Callithrix jacchus: one gene and its partners. The protein of the gene in region 1 purifies or fractionates together with the protein of each later gene. This does not show direct contact. Links are inferred from orthologs where the notes say so. Each region holds a gene or a part of one and is shown in the gene's direction. Other genes may lie near its edges.

The links.
Region 2: the proteins of PRKACB (region 1) and AKAP9 purify together in Homo sapiens (affinity purification with mass spectrometry; 5 studies listed by BioGRID and IntAct, counting the BioPlex papers as one, with this or other methods). This does not show direct contact. The link is inferred for Callithrix jacchus from reciprocal best matches to the Homo sapiens genes PRKACB and AKAP9.
Region 3: the proteins of PRKACB (region 1) and CDK5RAP2 purify together in Homo sapiens (affinity purification with mass spectrometry; 4 studies listed by BioGRID and IntAct, counting the BioPlex papers as one, with this or other methods). This does not show direct contact. The link is inferred for Callithrix jacchus from reciprocal best matches to the Homo sapiens genes PRKACB and CDK5RAP2.
Region 4: the proteins of PRKACB (region 1) and PRKAR2B purify together in Homo sapiens (affinity purification with mass spectrometry; 7 studies listed by BioGRID and IntAct, counting the BioPlex papers as one, with this or other methods). This does not show direct contact. The link is inferred for Callithrix jacchus from reciprocal best matches to the Homo sapiens genes PRKACB and PRKAR2B.
Region 5: the proteins of PRKACB (region 1) and AKAP11 purify together in Homo sapiens (affinity purification with mass spectrometry; 5 studies listed by BioGRID and IntAct, counting the BioPlex papers as one, with this or other methods). This does not show direct contact. The link is inferred for Callithrix jacchus from reciprocal best matches to the Homo sapiens genes PRKACB and AKAP11.

Annotation. Positions count from the first base shown.
Region 1 is NC_133508.1:121,402,538-121,406,052, forward strand, and holds part of PRKACB (cAMP-dependent protein kinase catalytic subunit beta), read left to right. Parts: intron 1-176; coding exon 177-238; intron 239-2,343; coding exon 2,344-2,472; intron 2,473-3,515. UniProt on the Homo sapiens protein: Mediates cAMP-dependent signaling triggered by receptor binding to GPCRs.
Region 2 is NC_133512.1:57,539,978-57,543,492, reverse strand, and holds part of AKAP9 (A-kinase anchor protein 9), read left to right. Parts: intron 1-578; coding exon 579-719; intron 720-1,208; coding exon 1,209-1,694; intron 1,695-2,108; coding exon 2,109-2,172; intron 2,173-2,285; coding exon 2,286-2,407; intron 2,408-2,954; coding exon 2,955-3,146; intron 3,147-3,515. UniProt on the Homo sapiens protein: Scaffolding protein that assembles several protein kinases and phosphatases on the centrosome and Golgi apparatus. Required to maintain the integrity of the Golgi apparatus. Required for microtubule nucleation at the cis-side of the Golgi apparatus.
Region 3 is NC_133502.1:168,803,395-168,806,909, reverse strand, and holds part of CDK5RAP2 (CDK5 regulatory subunit-associated protein 2), read left to right. Parts: intron 1-1,314; coding exon 1,315-1,431; intron 1,432-3,503; coding exon 3,504-3,515. UniProt on the Homo sapiens protein: Potential regulator of CDK5 activity via its interaction with CDK5R1. Negative regulator of centriole disengagement (licensing) which maintains centriole engagement and cohesion. Involved in regulation of mitotic spindle orientation.
Region 4 is NC_133512.1:77,495,532-77,499,614, forward strand, and holds the start of PRKAR2B (cAMP-dependent protein kinase type II-beta regulatory subunit), read left to right. Parts: upstream 1-1,269; 5' UTR 1,270-1,506; coding exon 1,507-1,813; intron 1,814-4,083. UniProt on the Homo sapiens protein: Regulatory subunit of the cAMP-dependent protein kinases involved in cAMP signaling in cells. Type II regulatory chains mediate membrane association by binding to anchoring proteins, including the MAP2 kinase.
Region 5 is NC_133506.1:161,378,242-161,382,247, forward strand, and holds the start of AKAP11 (A-kinase anchor protein 11), read left to right. Parts: upstream 1-1,197; 5' UTR 1,198-1,485; exon of another isoform or gene 1,486-1,496; intron 1,497-1,708; exon of another isoform or gene 1,709-1,940; intron 1,941-4,006. UniProt on the Homo sapiens protein: Binds to type II regulatory subunits of protein kinase A and anchors/targets them.

The DNA of each region.
Region 1 (3,515 bases):
GAAAGTTCTTAGAGATACTAAATAGCTCTCTGATGTATCATGGTGATAAATATACATTTTAATCACAATAGATGACATGATTGTTTTCTTAAGCAAGAAAACATATAATATAAATATTCTAAGACATAATTAAATATTCTTACAAGGCAAATTTGTTTTTATATGTATATTTTCAGTGAAAGAGTTTCTAGCCAAAGCCAAAGAAGACTTTTTGAAAAAATGGGAGAATCCAACTCCGGTAAGGAATATTTAGATTTTTCTACAATTTAAAGGTCTTGTGTTAATAAAATAATGATTCTTGCCTAAGAAATGTATTACTTCAGAAATTTTAATTTTCATGTGGTCTTAGTAAACAGAAGCCTAAAATGGGAATTTTGCTAGTTATACTTTGATGTATTAATTAATAATCTTGATGTATCTAAATTGTAGAAGGAGCTAATTTCCAGTATAATACCTAATTATAAATTTTGATACTAATTCCAATTGCTATAAAATTTTAATATTTTCTAATATATTAATTTTGAATTATGCCTTTAATAGCATACTTAATATTTTTATTAAATACAAAAATAAGAGTTCTTTTGTACAGTTTAAAATTCTCAATCAGAGAGAATTTGGTTATCACCAACATTCCTGGTACACAGGCATCTTTTTTATCATTTTGATGGGGTATGTCCTAGATAATTTAAGTATTTTTAGATCTTAACTGGGATCTAAAAACTATATATAAGAAGAGCCATCTATACTTTATAAAAATAATCTTTTTAGAGTTATAAATAATGAATAAATTGTATTAGTAAATTAAATTTTAAAGTCTTTTCTTTCTAGCTCAAAGGTTTATATTTCAAGTATTTTCTCACTAAAGAATTCTAAGTAAATGTTATTTAAAGATGCCATTACTACCAAGATTTAGAGTATGACCTATAAGTTAAAACATAGTCACAATTATATTAAACATTGTGATTACAAAATGTAGACATTGTGTAACATGAAACAATAAGTAAGGAAGATAACATTTTTATAATACAAAGAAAAGCAATGAAAAAACCATAAAGAGCAAAAAGCATTTCTGTTGCCTATTAATAAAATTTGTTTTAATTATTTAGTTGGGAGTATGGTAAGATTTTAATCCATCTATGTTGATAAAACCTAAAATTAAAGATTAATTAAATTAATTCTATCAGAATTATGAGTTTTTGCATTGCTAAAAAAATCTCATAATTAAAAATTACTTTAAATTTTAAATTGTGAAATCAAAATATGATGAAAACAAGTTATAAGTAAAACAGAATTGCTTGCTCTCCATTATGATCCAACAGGAAGCTAAAATGGGTCTCAAAAGGCAACATTTGATTTGCAATACAGATACAGTCCAACTACAGTGAACTCCAATACCTATTCAGATTCCTCACTGGATGAAGAATCATATTGCATCACATTTTTCTCAAGCTAAACACTGCATACTGGGCCTTCAAAATATTTTTCCAATATTTTCATGGAGTTCTTTGCATTGAAAACCTATTAAACAAATGGGTCAGCAATTACTACTTGTTGCTGTTTAACACATAAATTGTTCTAATAATTTTTATTTTGTTGTGGCAGGAACAAATTTAATAGATTGATGCCTCCAATTATTTGCTTCTTTTTAGTAGTCAAAGCCAAACAAAGATGTTTCCTTATAACAAAACATCTATTCAAGAAAAGAAGAGCCTGATTATTGTTCTGGGATTCTGGCTTTGGTTCTTTGTAGGAGGAGGAACGCTTCTTTCCTTATTGTTACTGTTTTAGATAATACTGTGTTATTATAACATACAGAGAGAAAGCCAGTAGGCTCTCTCATGCTGCTATTATATAGTTCTACAAGCTTATATAAGACAGAAATGAAGCAAGACAGATTTCTTCATAGGTAACTTTAGTGAAAGGGCTCTGATTCCTTAGTTTATCTATTCATTACAGTTATTTGCAAGTGCATTAAGTCTGTATGGCTTCTATGACTGCCAGTATGCCTCTAGTCAGTTTGTAATTATTAAAATATGAAAATGATTTATTAGAAGTTCAGTACTAAGATTAAAATTTCAATACTAGGAGTGCATACTGGCATGCAATCTTTAATATTTCAGCTGAGGCTGAAATATTTAATATCTCTCCTCAGATATTAAATCCTTTCTTGTTCAAAGGGAAAAACAGAACCAATAACGTGGAATCTCAATAGCCTTTTGTATTGCTTTTAAATGGGTAGTTATAAATTGAATCATCCATTATGATTATGTATTATTAAAGCATTTCTAATTCTCATAGTGTTTTTATGAGAAGTTTTAATTTTATTTATATATTTATATGCAGAGTAATGCTGGACTTGAAGATTTTGAAAGGAAAAAAACCCTTGGAACAGGTTCATTTGGAAGAGTCATGTTGGTAAAACACAAAGCCACTGAACAGTATTATGCCATGAAGATCTTAGATAAGCAGAAGGTTAGTATATTTGTTGTTATTTACCTTTAGGGTAAACTTTAGTTTTATCAGCAAGACTATTAAACAGATTCAGTATAATGATTTACCATTGACACCTTGAAATAATTTTATTATTACATTTAATTTTTATCCTTATTTATTGTAACTATATGATACATAGTTAATATACAGCCAGCCCTTCGATATCCATGGGTTCTACATCCATGGATTTAACCAATCACAGATTGGAGATATTTGGGGAAAAAAATTACATCTATACCTAACGTACAGACTTCTTTTTCTTATTATTCCTTAAACAATACAGTATAACAACTGTATACATAGCATTTACAACATATTAGGTATTATACTTAATACCTAATATTAGGTATTTAAATGATTTAAAGTATATGGAAAATGTGTATAAGTTTTATGCAAAGCCTCTGTCATTTTTTTTTTTTTTTTTCTTTTGAGACGGATTTTCACTCTTGTTACCCAGGCTGGAGTGCAATGGTGTGATCTCGGCTCACCTCAACCTCCGCCTCCTGGGTTCAGGCAATTCTCCTGCCTCAGCCTCCTGAGTAGCTGGGATTACAGACACGTGCCACCATGCCCAGCTAATTTTTTTGTATTCTTAGTAGAGACGGGGTTTCACTATGTTGACCAGGATGGTCTCGATCTCTCGACCTCGTGATCCACCCGCCTAGGCCTCCCAAAGTGCTGGGATTACAGGCGTGAGCCACCGCGCCCAGCCTGCCTCTGTCATTTTATATAAGTGAGTTGAGTACCTGGGCATGTTGGTTTCTGCCATAGGTCCTGGAACCAACCCCCAGGGATACTGATGGACAACTGTAATTTATTGTGACAATTATGGACTAATTTGTTATGTAACTGGTTAAAATGTGTGCAGTAGTGACCCAACCACTTCATGTTACAGATTTTGAAAAGCTGAAGCCCAAAGAGTTGAAGTCATCTCCAGAGTCAGAAATTTAGTTAAATAGAAGGCCTAGATTAAAACACAGATCTGAAAGAAAAAAAAAAAACCACAGATCTGGCTCCTACTC
Region 2 (3,515 bases), on another chromosome or scaffold:
TGCACACGAATGACATTATTTACCTTTTATTCCCAGAAAAATCATTCTTTTCTCAAGAAGGAAATCATTTTCTCAAGAATACAAGATGATGGTTCTGAAAAAGCTTCTCTGTTTTTGGAAAGAGCATTAATTTGTTGCAGCTCCATTTATCTATAGGCAGTCATTTCCTTCGATCATTTTTTGTTTTTTTGTTTTTTTTTCGAGACAGAGTTTCGCTGTTGTTACCCAGACTGGAGTGCAATGGCACAATCTCGACTCACCACAACCTCCGCCTTCTGGGTTCAAGCAATTCTCCTGCCTCAGCCTCCTGAGTAGCTGGGATTACAGGCACGAGCCACCATGCCCAGCTAATTTTTTGTATTTTTAGCAGAGACGGGGTTTCACCATGTTGACCAGGATGGTCTCAATCTCTTGACCTCGTGATCCACCCGCCTCGGCCTCCCAAAGTGCTGGAAATATAGGCATGAGCCACCGCGCCTGGACTTCCTTGGATAGTTTTATTAGAATATATAAGTGCCTTGAATTTAGCTATGTATTTTTTAAATGATGTGTTTCTTGTATTTTCCACTGTCATTCAGACAACTGCTAAACTATTTCATACCAATGAAGAAAGTGGATTTTTTAATGAACTTGAGGCTCTTAGAGCTGAATCAGTGGCTACCAAAGCAGAACTTGACAGTTATAAAGAAAAGACTGAAAAACTTCAAGAAGAACTTTTGGTAAGATAAGTAACATAGCTCCTTAATTTACTGACTTCTACCTATCTTAGTTTCGTTTCAAAGTATATACTCTTCTGTAAAAATAAATCAAGCTCTGTAACTTAAAAGCTAGATTAAAAAGTCTTTTGTGGATTTGGTGAAAACTTTCATTGTTATAAATTTCTTTACCAACATCTTCTTGCTTGATTTTCTTGGAAATCTTTGTTAGGAGGATACTTTTTATTGCCATTCTGTTAATGAAAGAGTAGAAAGTTGTTAAAGAGAACTGTAGAAGCTGATAGAATTATTTCACTTCTATATTAATCTATGACCCTACCTACATACAAATATATATGTAGACTATGAGTGTTTCTGAAATGTTTTTCCTGCTACTCTGAGGAAAATGAACATATAATCATTAATTACACTCTTCTTACCCCCTTTAAATTCTATACTTAATATGGAAAGATTTTAACCAAATGCCCTACCGTTCTGTTCATTATGTTTTAGGTAAAAGAAACAAATATGGTATCTCTTCAAAAGGACTTAAGCCAAGTTAGGGATCACCTTACAGAGGCAAAAGAGAAATTGTCCATTTTAGAAAAAGAAGATGAGATTGAGGTACAAGAAAACAAAAAGATCTGCATGTTCGAGCCACGTCCTATAAAATTGAGTAAGAGCATTGCATCCCAGACAGATGGGACTCTGAAGGTCAATAGCAGCAATCAGACTCCACAAATTCTTGTTAAAAATGCAGGAATACAAATTGATTTACAGAGTGAATGTTCCTCAGAAGAAGTTACTGAAATAATCAATCAGTTTACTGAAAAAATTGAGCAGATGCAAGAACTACATGCTGCTGAAATTTTGGACATGGAATCTAGACATATTTCAGAGACTGAAACCTTAAAGAGGGAACACTATGTTGCTGTTCACTTGCTGACAGAGGAATGTGGTACCTTGAAGGCAGTGATACAGTGTCTGAGAAGTAAAGAGGTATTTGGTTTTTATAATATGTGTTTTTCAATAGTTTGCTTTTAAAAGAAAATTTTAAAAACTTGGGGCAGTCTCTTCCTTATGATACTATCACAATTTTAATAGTTTTTAAACTGTTTTAAATTTAAATAATTTTTAGTTTACAATGTTGTAAATGTTTTCATTGTGTAGAGTTAATGTACGATGTTCCTGTATGGATTTGGAACATGTTATCATTACTTAATTCATGAATGTCTCTTCTTATTGTAATATTCATGAAAAAATAGACATGTTAAAAACCATGAATAGTTTCATTTATTATGAAAGGTGTGACAGATTTGATTGATTTCTTTACAGCATTAGAAACCAGCAAAATAATTCATTGTATTCTATTTTTATTAAAGCAAAGAAACGTATTTTTTTCCCTCTAATTAGGGATCCTCAATTCCTGAATTAACACATTCTGATGCTTACCAAACTAGAGAAATATGCTCCAGTGGTAAGTTATATAAATATCTGTAATGTTTCTAGTATTTATTTAAGGAGTACTGGTTTTTTGCGGACTGGGGGTTGATTTTTTTTTTAACAGCAAATGATTTTCTTTTATTTTAGATTCTGGATCGGACTGGGGTCAGGGAATTTATCTTACACACAGTCAGGGATTTGACACAGCATCAGAAGGCCGAGGAGAAGAAGGTGAAAGTTCAATAGATTCCTTTCCAAAGAAAATAAAGGTATTAAAACATAGATACCTTTTATTACCTTACCCAGTGTTGTTTCCATGTTGAACATAGCAGTTCATTAGAAGTTATATGGTGGGTTCATTTCTGAAGAGAGAATTGCATACCTGGAAGGAACCTGAGAGATCTATTTTATTTCCATATTTCACAGATAAGAGATTTAATGATGATATGTATGAAGACTTGTTTTCTTAATAATTCATATTCCTGATCTTTTTATTTGCCAGAATTTTTATAGTAATCTCAAAGAGTAGAAGTTAGATCCCATGTATTTCTTTTGGTCAAATCAGTGGCTTATCAGTAAACCTAGGGAGAGTACGTTAGCCAAACAGAAGGAACTTAGAGATGAGAGCTATGAAAAGTTGTAGGCCATCCACTGGATTCGGCCTACCCCTCCATAGGAAGAAGGTATTCAGTAATGTTGGGCTGGAGTTTTCTCTCTGCAGGATATCTTGCTTAAAATTTATTTCTCTGTGTATGTCTAATTTTTCAGTCCGTGAAGAAGTTGTCATAATTCTGGCTTTTGGGTTTTGTTTTCTAGGGATTACTGAGAGCTGTCCATAATGAAGGCATGCAGGTGCTTTCTCTCACTGAGTCGCCCTATAGTGATGGAGAGGACCATTCTATTCAGCAGGCTTCAGAATCTTGGCTAGAAGAGAGAAAAGCTTACCTCAGTATAATTTCATCACTTAAGGATTTGATTACCAAAATGCAACTGCAAAGAGAGGCTGAGGTACCCAAAGAATACTAAGCATGCACAGTAATAATACACTACAAATTAAATTATCTTTTATACATGTTTTTGCATGAATAGCTGTATATATTTTCACACTTCAAAATCAGCCAGGAGTGGCTCACACCTGTAATCCCAGCACTTTGGGAGACCAAGGTGGGTGGATCACCTGAGGTCAGGAATTCGAGACCAGTCTGGCCAACAAGTCAAAACCCCGTCTCTACTAAAAATACAAAACTTAGCCAGACATGGTGGCAGATGCCTGTAATCCCAGCTACTTGGGAGGCTGAGGCAGGAGGATTGCTTGAACCTGGAAGGTGGAGGTTTTAGTAAGCCGAGATCACACCACTGCACTCCAGCCTAGGCAAC
Region 3 (3,515 bases), on another chromosome or scaffold:
TCGTTCCTCCCCTGCAACGAGTTTGAATAGGATAGGTGTTCAGTTGTGTGCCAGGATGCTTTCAGCTGCAAGCAACAGAATGAGAGTAGCAACTGACGGTAACAACAGGGATTGTGTTTTCTCACCTAACAAGAAACCCAGAGGCAGGTAGTTCCAAGGTAGGTTTATGGCTCAGTGACAGCAGAGTTTGGGTTACTATCTGTGATGACTGCAGTAGTTACAATCATCCCAGTCTCTTAGACGGTGTCCAAAGCATGGGAAAGAAGAAGGTGGGGCCCCTTCCTGTCCTCTTTTCATGCTGGTGGAAAATCTTTCCCAGAAGACCCCGGCAGACTTCCTGTCAGGCCTCATTGGCCAGAAGTGGCACATGACCGTGTCCTCAATGCAGGGTGGCTAGGAAAGCAGGAATCTGGCATTTTGGCTCTGTGGTGTAGTAAGTGGACCCAATGAGTGTGGAGGACATGGAGGGAAGCATCTGCCTGCCACATAGAGAAGGCACCTTGCACACAGTAGGTGCTCTCCTGAGGGTGGCAGTGAACTTGAATGTTATCTGTGGAGTAGAGGTGTCTAAACTAAGAAGATGGCCCTTGCGTTTTGTTGTGTGATTGTCCTTTGCCATGGTGGGTCATCAGATGTTTCTGAATAGACAGTTACTTGAATGGACTTTGTTTGGGATAATAACCTGTAAGCACTGGCAGAATAACGGGGAGACAGGGTTAGAGAGCAAAGTGATAAGGCCTGAACTTTAGGATGAAAAAAGGGTAGGTCAGTGTTGGAAGCATTTTGGAGGAAGCAGCAGCAGTTGTGATTCCCTGATTGGGCAGTGGAAGAGAGAAGGGTTTAGGATGGCTCCCAGCTTTCTAGCTTGGGTTAGGGATTGTGGCGATACCATCTCATTAGGCAGGAAACAGGTGAGAGAGAGCAGGTTTGGAAGGATGAGGAGTTCAGCTTTGGCTCTGTGGACTGAGTGACAGAGTTGCCTCAGTGGTGAGGTGTGGCAGGCAGCTGGATATGTAAATTTTGACCTTGGGAGAGACATCTGTGAAGGTGAAGACTCTCACTTGCTCACCCCACTCCTGGTCCAAGTCTTCTGCTTTGTTCTCCCTTAGGTAAGATGTGGGGGAGCCCCTCTTGCCCCCTTTTTCAGGCTTACTCTCATTTCTCTTTGGCCTCTGGTAGTTTCTTACATAGTTAACAGAAGCGATTGTCATTGTATGTTGTGTTAACTCATTGTTTAAAACTGTTTTCTAGAAAGTTCCATCTCTGCTGATCTAAAGACTGTTTATAAATCAGTCTTCATGTGTGTTTTTTTAGGTTCTACAAACATTTTTGCTTCTGGTTCCGAGCTTCATAGTTCTCTAACATCAGAAATTCATTTCTTGAGGAAGCAGAACGAGGCCCTCAATGCAATGCTCATTAAAGGATCCAGAGGTAAGAATTAAAGGAGTCACTGGAAGCCTGGAATGCCAAAGCCTTCTGTGACATGGAAAGAATGCAGGCATTGGAGTCTGACCAACCTAAGTATGAATTCTGTGGCTCTGCGATGGCTTTACACCATTTAATTGTCACAGTAGCCCTGTGAGGTGTTCCTGTTTTGTAGCTGAGAACACTGGAATCAGAGAGGTGCTGGAATACCTCATAGGGCTGTTGTGACAATTGAATGATGTAGTGTCTCTAATAGGGACTCAGTAAGTGTGTTACTTCATTTGCTTGTCACTCATCCCCTCTATAGCCACGTGTCTTTCCTCCTAGTTCACAGTGGGGGAAAGAAGGGCTGGAAACACAATACTGCCAAAATCTCCACAAGAGAATTCCTGCTATCAGCAAGATTTATCCTATACTTTTTATAAAGATCCATTATCTTACTTCCTTCTATTTGGAGCTTGGCTCCTAAAAAGCTTTCACTTACATTATCTTTCACTATTGAAAACAATTCTGGGATAATGTATCATTAGCCCTATTTGACAGGTAAGAAACAGGCTTAGAGAATTGCCCGGCCTGTGGTCACAGAGCTAGAAGGTGGTACAGCTAGAACTTGAGCCAGCTTATTCCACTTTTCCTAAAAGGATATTGATGTTCCTTTTGGCTTAAGAGATGAAATTGGGGCTTCAGTCAGTCAGTCATTCACTCAGCAGACATTTCCTATCTCCTGTTCTACTTCAGGGCCATGTAGACTCTGATACAGAAATGAAAGAGATTTCATCCCTTCCTTCAGTGAGCTCATAATCGGATGGAAGAGACAGCCAGACAATCATGGCAGGCCAGTGTGAACCGCTGCCATGATAAAGTCAGACTATGGGAACTGCAGGACCCTAGAGAAGGCATCCTGACTCAGGAAAAGCTTGCCTTGAGAACGGAGTCGAGGAGGGCTTAGTGAAGGTGCCAAAGATTGAGAGGAGCCAGGGCCCTTTAAATAGAAGGAAGAGAGCAGACAAAGGCCCGGTGGTTAGCAATGAAGAGAGACCAGGCCTTTCGGGAAGTGAAGGAAGCATGACGTGTCTGGAGCTTGAGGGGAGAGGTGAATGCTTGCTTAGAAATTATCTTGTCATGGTTAAGAATGGAGTCAGAAAACCTGAGTCCGAATTCTGGCTCTGCCACCTACTGGCCGTGTGACCTTAAGGAAGTTTCTTATCTGGAAAGCAGAAAATAATAGTGCCTGCCTTGGAAGTCAGCCCTGAAGATTAACCAGGGCACTGCATGTCAAGGCCCCAATGTCATACCTGCACAGGTAGTGCTGGTGCAGCTCAGCTGTTACCACCACCAGCACTGCTGGCAACTGAGCCTGATGGAGCTTCCAGCCCCCAGAGTGCTCCTGAAGACCTGTGGTAAACCTTTTATAGATGGCAACCAGTTAATCCACACAATAACACCTGTGAGGAAACACATTTTATAGCTGGTAGCTCAGTTAATCCCCGTAATAACACATATGGAGAAGTGAAGAGCCTCCTCACTCAAGGTTATGAAGTCAGGAAATGGAGAAGCCGCTCTTGAATATGGCCTCTCTGCCTCAAGCACTGTGCTCTTGACCACGGTGTCTCTTGTACCTCTGGGTGTATTTCATTCCTCAGGAGAGGTGCTGTCCTCAGCCTCAGGAGTGAATGGGCCTCAAGGTACCATCTGTACAGCCCTGCTGGCCTCCTGGGGCTAGGTTGGTAGAAGGCCTGTGGCCAGTCCAACACCCATTCCCAGAGTTCTGGGCCCTGTGTTTTCCTCTGTCTGTACTTTCTACCTGCTGCTCTGTGAAGGCAAAATAACTAGGTTTACATGGCCTGTTGTTTAATAGAAAATTAAACAGACCCATTTTATCCCAGTGACGTTTAATCTGCAGCCTTGATGTTGACAAATTTATCTGCCCAAAGTGTGTAAGACAATTGGAATGCCAAAATCATAAATGCCACATCGAATCTCATTCTTTTTTGTATTCTTGAAGTGCTGTATTTATATAATAAGGTTGGAAAAAACAAATGGTGGCCCTTCTCAGTGGCGCCTTTTTGTGTTTGCAGATAAACAGAAGG
Region 4 (4,083 bases), on another chromosome or scaffold:
AGGCGGAGGTTGTGGTGAGCCGAGATTGCGCTATTGCACTCCAGCCTGGGTAACAAGAGCGAAACTCCGTCTCAAAAAAAGAAAAAAAAAAAAAAAAGTTTGACCCAATTAGAAGTTCTTTATTACTATATATTTAAAAACAACATTATTACTATGAAGTTGATAAGAAATGAAAATAGAGAAATACAGTGGCTCATGGAGTGAATATAGGGTGCATCATTAACAAAAGGTTAACATCAAGATCCATTTTTACCAAAGGGCCTAGTTTGTTACAGCTCTGATTTCTAGTCCCCAGTCATGTGTTTACTCTTCCGTGGGTGGGAAGATAAATCTGAATAAGCAAGCGAGCTTGCTTTTAAACTATTTTATTTACAATGATATGGTAATTGTAAAAAATGAAGTATGCGTACTTAAATAATATTTAATTGACAAAAGTCAATTCTTTCTACTTCAAAATTGTAAACATTTGCAAAGTGAGCCTAATTTCAAAGTGAAAAACTTCTACTTTAAAAGCACACATTCGTCATTCTATTTTCCTTGATACCGAAGTGTTTCAATTTTTGGAGATGAAGTCAAAATCACTCAAAGTATAAAGTTTTAAAATAATCAGCGCCTCACCCAGCACTATCCTATTTGAAGGAGATCGACTAATTTCGATAGGTGCCTCACAATAAATGGTGCCTTTGTCTCAGTAAATAGTAAATGCATGGAGTGCACAACGAAATAGCATCAGTAAGGCAAAAAGATAATAAACAGGATGGGTGAGGAAAGGCTGGATAAAATGTGGTGGAAGAAAAAGAAAGACGTCACAAAGATGGGGTAGCATTTCTTTGTCCAAAAGAGAACCAGTACCACCATAAGCCTTCAAACAAAGGACATTAACAACACTTATCATGCAGCTAGATTCTAAAAGGAAAATAAAATGCCACTACTAAGGTGGAGGCTGAAGTTTCACGACAAATCGCTTGGCACCAGCTTTGCGTGGGAAGCGGGGCGAGTGGCTAGCAAGCTCCCGGACACGCGGACAGGTGGACACCGAGGCGGCCTCGCGAGGGCTCCCCTCCCAGCCCTCGGCGCGCCGCCCGCCAGCGCATTCCACCCTGGCGCGGTCAGAACCGCGGGTGCGCGGCGCCTGCCGGCGGAGGTTGCCATGGTTTCCGGGGGTCACGTGGGCGCGCTCTCCCGCGCCCCCTCCCGCGCGCCGCGGTGGGGCGGGGGCGGGGCGACCGGGCGGGGGAGAGGCGCGGTCGCGGCGGGACCGGGAGGAGCAGGAGATGCTGCCAGCCTTCCCGGGGCCGCGCTCGCTCAGCCGCCGCCGCCACACGGAGCAGCCGCGCGCCAGGAGCCGCGGGCCGGGCCAGCCGGGCCGCCGGGGCCCAGTGCGCCGCGCTCGCAGCCGGTAGCGCCGCCAGCGCCGTTGGTACTCGTTAGGCAGCCGCTGGGCCCCAGGCCGGGCCGGGGAGGGGGCGAGGGCGGCGCCCGGGCGCCTGCCGCCGGGGAAGCAGGATGAGCATCGAGATTCCGGCGGGACTGACGGAGCTGCTGCAGGGCTTCACGGTAGAGGTGCTGAGGCACCAGCCCGCGGACCTGCTAGAGTTCGCGCTGCAGCACTTCACGCGCCTGCAGCAGGAGAACGAGCGCAAAGGCACCGCGCGCTTCAGCCATGAGGGCAGGACCTGGGGGGACACGGGCGCCGCTGCCGGGGGCGGCACCCCCAGCAAGGGGGTCAACTTCGCCGAGGAGCCCATGCACTCCGACTCCGAGGACGGGGAGGAGGAGGAGGCGGCGCCCGCAGACGCAGGGGCGTTCAATGGTGAGGACCGGACCCTCTCCGCGCCCACGGACCCCCTCACTGTCCCCTACCGCTCCCCACTGTGCTCTCGGATCCTGCTGCTTTGCGCACCCACCTCTCCACGCATTCGCCACCTTTTCCTACCTTCCCATCTCGCCCACCCCCTCAGCATCCATTTCTGTCTCTCCCAGTCGCCCACCTTCCTACTCTGCTCCCTTGTCATACCCTCTTCCCTTCCTCTGGAGGTGGGAGAGCTGGGAGGTTACGCTTTCCTCTGCCCTTCTGCCCCCTCTGCCTGGGCCGGTTGGGGTGGGCATCTGCTAGAAAGACAACTTTCGCTGTGGTTGGAGGTATTTCGCTTGGAGGATACCATCATTGTGCATAAAGAAACTGGCCCACTTGGCGTCTTCTTTCAGCTCTTGTATTAATGGAATGTCAAAAGAGAAAAGGCGAACGGTGTTTAATGTGACTGGCTTTACTGTTAGGACGGTAGATCATTGAAAGAGGCTTGAAATTGGACTCACTGGGGCAGAACAAAATTTATGGCCAATAGCTCTGACATCCTTAGATAAGAGTTGTCTGTTATTTTCCAATTTACCAATACCATGTTGTGTTATTTTTGGACATGTAACAAAGGATCCTATTAGTCTGAAACCCACGGGGGTCTTTGGAACGAGGAAACAGGTTAATTGTTTGCTTTTTATATAAAGAACATATTGAATTATTTGGTGCTTTATTTTTTTTTAAAGCGTATGAGAAAAAAAACAGTGTAGGAAGTTCTGAAGCCTTGTTGATTGTCTTTAGAATGAAAAGCCAGTGAGTAATTGTAAGGACTGTGCCAGACAGTAGAGCTAGAAAGAATGAATGGGAAAGAAAAAGGAATTTTCTCAAATAGCTGCTCCTGGCAAGTCCCACCCCTTTTGCTTACAACCTTCTTTCCCTAACACACCCAGACACACACCCTCATTTACAGCCCCCCTGTATTTACACAACATGCCCAAATCCCATTTTTATGGCAACCCAAGCTAAAATACCATGGAGTGCAATGTGCAAGTGTTTTCTCTTTGTGGTGTAAGGCAAACATGCATGCACCATTGCACCAGCTTTTATTTATTTACACTGCTTGTGGTTTGTGTGTCCGCAGTGTATTTCATAAAATGAAAACCTTTAAAAGTGTCATTTCATTCCCTTGTGTATGCTCCTAGGAAGATGTTTCTTTTCTTTGCGGGATTGCATGTTGAAATGGTTTATAAAATTAAGGTGTTTTTAGCTTGTCTAAATCTCAGAAACCCTGGAAATTAATGTTGCATGAAGATAAAAGTGAAACTTGTTACTTACAATTTTAATTTTGGACTTTTAAATGTTTCCCCAAGGGGATAATCATAGTCTTAATTGTTTTTGCACAAGAATCAAATCAAATGATTTTCTTACCAGAAACAAGAGAAAGATGAAAGAATGCATGTTTTAAATAGATAGGAAATAGCAGCCAGTAACGGATTACAGAAAGGGCAGAGGTATCTAATACTTCTTTTATGCTCTGGATGCATGCACACATGTTCATGCACACACACCAAGGGGAAAAAAAAGACTCTTTTCCCAGAAGAAAACTAGGAACTAAGGGACTTGGTAAAGATCTTATATATATTCTGTATGATATGTTGTTAATATAATCAGACTCTTTTGTTTGTATAAGAAATTTGAAGTACTTTCCTTTGATGATTCCATTTTCTTATTAAAATAATATATTGTGCGCAGAAGAGATTTAATGTTCATTTTGTAGTGAAGAAATAAGCTGTTAACTTCTGAACAGCAGGGATCATTTTATAGTCTCCAAGCCACCTTTACTGTAAAAATTGCTCAATGTGACTTAAACAAGTTAACCTTGTTAAACAATTGCTCTATTTACTCCCCAGCCTCAGCCCCAAGGACTTTAAAACTTTTTGACTGCAAACAGATAGGATTTGATCATTATCCCTGTGGCACATATATGTGTACAACTGAAACTTTGGCAATAGTACGGGTACTCCTTATGTCAGATGCAGTGCTTTTTGATATTTCCTATTTGAATCAATTATTTCTATTTTAAATTGTGTTGAGACCTGACTTTGAAAAGCATTTAATTATAGGCTACAAAGTGGTTGGCAAGTCTTTCCTGTAAAGGTCGGATAGTAAATGTTATAGACTTTGTGGGCAATGTATGGTCTTGATCAACTACTAATACTTCTTCCTTTCTTCTTTCTTTTCTTTTTTTTTTTTTTCAAACACATACACTTTCTGAGGGTTGGAGTTGT
Region 5 (4,006 bases), on another chromosome or scaffold:
TTGGACAAGTACCGCCATTTTAAGTTTCCCTTGATTAAAAACCGCCTAAATCCAGCCCTAAAAACAGCCTAACGGCTAATATCAGCATGACCATAAACCACAATGACACCTTCAACCAGAAACATTCCAACCCAGAGATAAACCCTTCTCTACCAGAAACATGCCAGCCCGAAGATAACCTCCCCTCTGACCAGAGATATGCCAGCCCTGAGATAAACTCCCCTTGGACCAGACATTCCATCCCCGGCAATAAAACTCTCTTCCACCCAGAAACATTCCATGCCTGCAATAAGCTCTCCCTCCCTAAATCATTGAATGTCTTTAGTCTGTAAGAGAGAACGCTCCTGACCGAAGTCAGCCAGAAGCCCCTCTCAGTTTTATTCTCCAAGATAAACCTGGCTTTGTTAAGAGGCTTTTTGTGTTACTTTCTTCTTTCTTAACTCTTACAGATTCCAACTCCAGGATCAAGAAAGTTTCCTTTCTCATTTCTTCTTCCCTCAAATGCACTAGAAAAGGTCCTTATTTAGGACCTCTGAATTCGTGCTTTCCTTTTCCTGGAATGCTCTACGCTGACTTTTGCATGACTGTTATTCAAATCCCTGCTAAAGGGTCTCCTCTTCAAAAGGGCAGCCCCTTTACTAGCCACTCAATCACCATCTGGTCACTTCTTGTAACTTCTTTGCATACAGCTTAAAACCAACAGATTTTTTCCCCTTCTTTTCACCTTCAGATAAGTTCCCTAGAAGCTACACTATTTGTCGTCATCATTGCTTAATAGACAGCGTGTAGCAGTGTCTGCTGAATGAAGAACAAATGAATGCACCCTTTTCTTCCCTGACCCTCTCCTCCGAACAGGGCCAAACTTAACTCATAATCAGGACACTCTCAAAAATGTCTTTCTCCTTGCCAGGTGTTTGCACTCTTGAAAAATGCTTTCGAGGAGACAGGGCAATCTGACTGGACTGGCCCTTCAGATTTTAGGTGAAAATAATCAGCATAATAGCTTTTCATCTCTGGCTAGGCTTCCCAGTGACTAAAGCTTTACTTTCTGATTTCCGTATCATGTAAAGACATCAGAGTGAGCACTAGGGGCCCTGAGAATCCTGGTGCTACTGGGTGCACTAGGGCCCTGAGAATCTTGGCTGGGATAGGACCGGAGGCCCTGGGCGCTGTGAGTAGTCCTCCCTGGAGATGCTGGGAGAAGGGGCGGAGCCATCAGAAAGGATGGCCCATCCTTGGGCAGTCAGATCTGGTGGGGCTGCCACTTTGGGAAGGGCTTGGGGCTTCGGAAGAAAACAAAACTAGCCTTGTGGCGAAGAAGGAGCCCAGCTAACCCCAGGCGGCAAGACCAAGGGGTCGACGGAAAAGAGACAGAGCCTGAAAGCAAACCTGCGGAGCAAGCCAAGGCCTGGGGACTTGCCAGAGGAAAGGGTTAAGCCGTTTCCAAGGCAACGGACCAGGAAGCGCGCAAGACGTCCGCCGCAGGTTCGTAGGTCAGCCTCGAATTTAAAGCTCCCACGGCTGAGCAGGTCCTGGCCAATGGAAAGGCCGCCTCTAGGTCATGTGACCGGCGGGCCTGCTCCGCTAGCTGCTCCGGAGCACGTGGGGAGGCTTTTTTTCCTGTTCCTTCTTTCCCTTTTTAAACGCCCACCCACTTTTGCGCGGGCTCGCCGCGGGGTTCTTCTCGCGAGAGGCGCGTTTTCCTCTCGCGAGAGTGAGTGGGAGGCGTGGAGAGTAGGCGGTGTTGCGGGCCGGAGCTGCGGCGGCTGCGGCGGCGGCAGCGGCGGCGGAAGCCGAGGGGTGGGCAGGGCGGGACGCGGGGCTGGGAGGGGGGAGGGCTGGGGGCCGGCGCGGGACGGGGCCAGCCTGCTCGCCCGGCTCGCTCTCGGCTCGTTGCGGCCGGTGACATGTCCGTGAGCTGCGGAGGCTGCGGCCCCCAGGTGAGCCGGGCGCCGACTAGCCCGCAGCGAAGGCTGCGCTTAGCTGGGGTGGCGGCGGGTGTGCTGCCAGCATGGATGGAGCGGGCCCGGCTCTGTCGCCGCAACCCCTCCGCCTTTCCGTGGTTCCCCTTCTGGCTTCGGGGCCGCGGGAGAGCTGCGCCTTCGCATGGCGGAGGGAGGAGGGCGGGAGGAGCGCGGCCGAGAGAGGAAGCCCAAGGCACCGGGCCCGTGGTAGAGGGTGGTGCTCGGGCTGGAGAAGCGTCTTCCTGGGGTCCCTGCGGTGGGGATGGAGCTGCCGCCCGTTTTAGTGACAGGCTCTTTTCATCCCCGGGGTGGTCTTCAGAGACGTGTGCGTGGTGCGCGTGCTTAGTGTGTGTTCGTGGTGTGCGCACAGGAGCATTTGCAGCCGGAGGACGACGTTACACTTTGTCCCCGAACAGCATCCTTCACTGTCAGAACCCCGGAGCCCTGGAAGCAGGCGCTGCTCAGATCTTGTGACAGAAACGGAAGGCGTCAAACGGCTCCTCACAGTATTGATATATGGATTCGCTGTCAAATACCCTCCTAGGCTTTTAATGACTTAGCAGCTGGCCACAAAGTACTCCGAATGGATTGGATGTACTGCTATTAATCCAGGCGTCTAAGCCACTTTATTAAGAAAAAAAAAATACGTAGATGTAACCGAAGTATTAAAAAAAATAAATAAATGACAACGACAGTAAAAGCTAACATTTTTTTCTCCTCCCCATATTACCGGCTTACATTTGTTTTCCGCTTTCTCTGTCTTCTAAAACCATATAAAGTTGGATGCGGTTTAGCTTTAGATGTTACGGAGTTTCATGTTGAGAAAGAGTGCTGAGACACGTATCTAATAGCTTTAGTACAAACCATAGTTAATTGCTGTTCTCTTTTCAGCTTTCAATGGCTTGCAAAATGCTTGTTTTGCTTAGCTCTTCCCACTTTTTTAGAAATGTTATGTTGTGATTTCATTATGTTTGAAAATACTCAAAACATAGAGTACTAAGAAAAATGGGGTACTCAGTAATGCAAAGATAGTATTTTTATGTCATGATTTTAGAATGGCAGCCCAGTGCCTAGCATGATTGGTGTCAGTTAAAATAGTCCAGTTTAATGATTTTTTTTTAAACACACAGTTTTTTCAAATGGTACCTTGATTATTCATTTTGTTGTTGTTGTTTCTTCTGACAAAATTGTGACCCGGGGTGAACAGTGAATGTCACCATTAATTGTAGCTGTACCAGTAGTTTATGAAAGGTCAAAGAATGTAAGGGAATCGGGGAAGAAGTGGGCTCCCACGCTGGCCTAGTGACTAGTGTATGTGCCTGCATAATGGCACTGTGGATAAGATTGAAGACAGCCCAGCAGTGTACCCTAGGCCAGTGATACTTTGCAGTTGTTGAGGATATAGTAAGTTGCCTAAGACATGGAACCCCAATGAGAAATTCTCTAGCCTTCTGTAGCCCCCTGAAATCCAAGGGTAAGTCTAGAAGCTAGAGAAGTCCTCTTTTGCCTTTAGAGGCTGGAAAAATGAGGAACTTTTAATTTTTTAATTTTAGGAACTTACTGTCTGGAAAAGGAGCTCAAACCAATTTGGACAGTATACGAAAGGCCGTTGTAGAGAAATGGCCGGTTATAAATAGGTAGAAGAAGTCTGTCTGTTCTTAACAAAAATGTGAAAGACAGAAGATCTCTCATTGTGAATTGGCAAAGGATACCACTGTTGATTAGAAGAAATTTCTTCTCTTTCCATCTTAGCAAACTAATTTTCAGAAATAGAAAAATAATGTTTTTGGCTTGTCTTCATAACTTTTTGGCAAAGGTTTCAAACATTTAGCATGTGTATTTGGTTTTTCAAAAGTAATTCTAACTTTTGATAGGGTAACTGTTTTTATTCTGTTTTTCTTTTTTCTGTCTTGTTTGCATTTTTACTAATCAACTACTTGGAAGGATTGAAGGGTGAGGACAGATGAATAAAGATCTAAGTTTAGCCTGGGCGTGAGTTAAGGGTCAATAAGCTGGTAATATGGGGAAGAGAAAGAAAAATG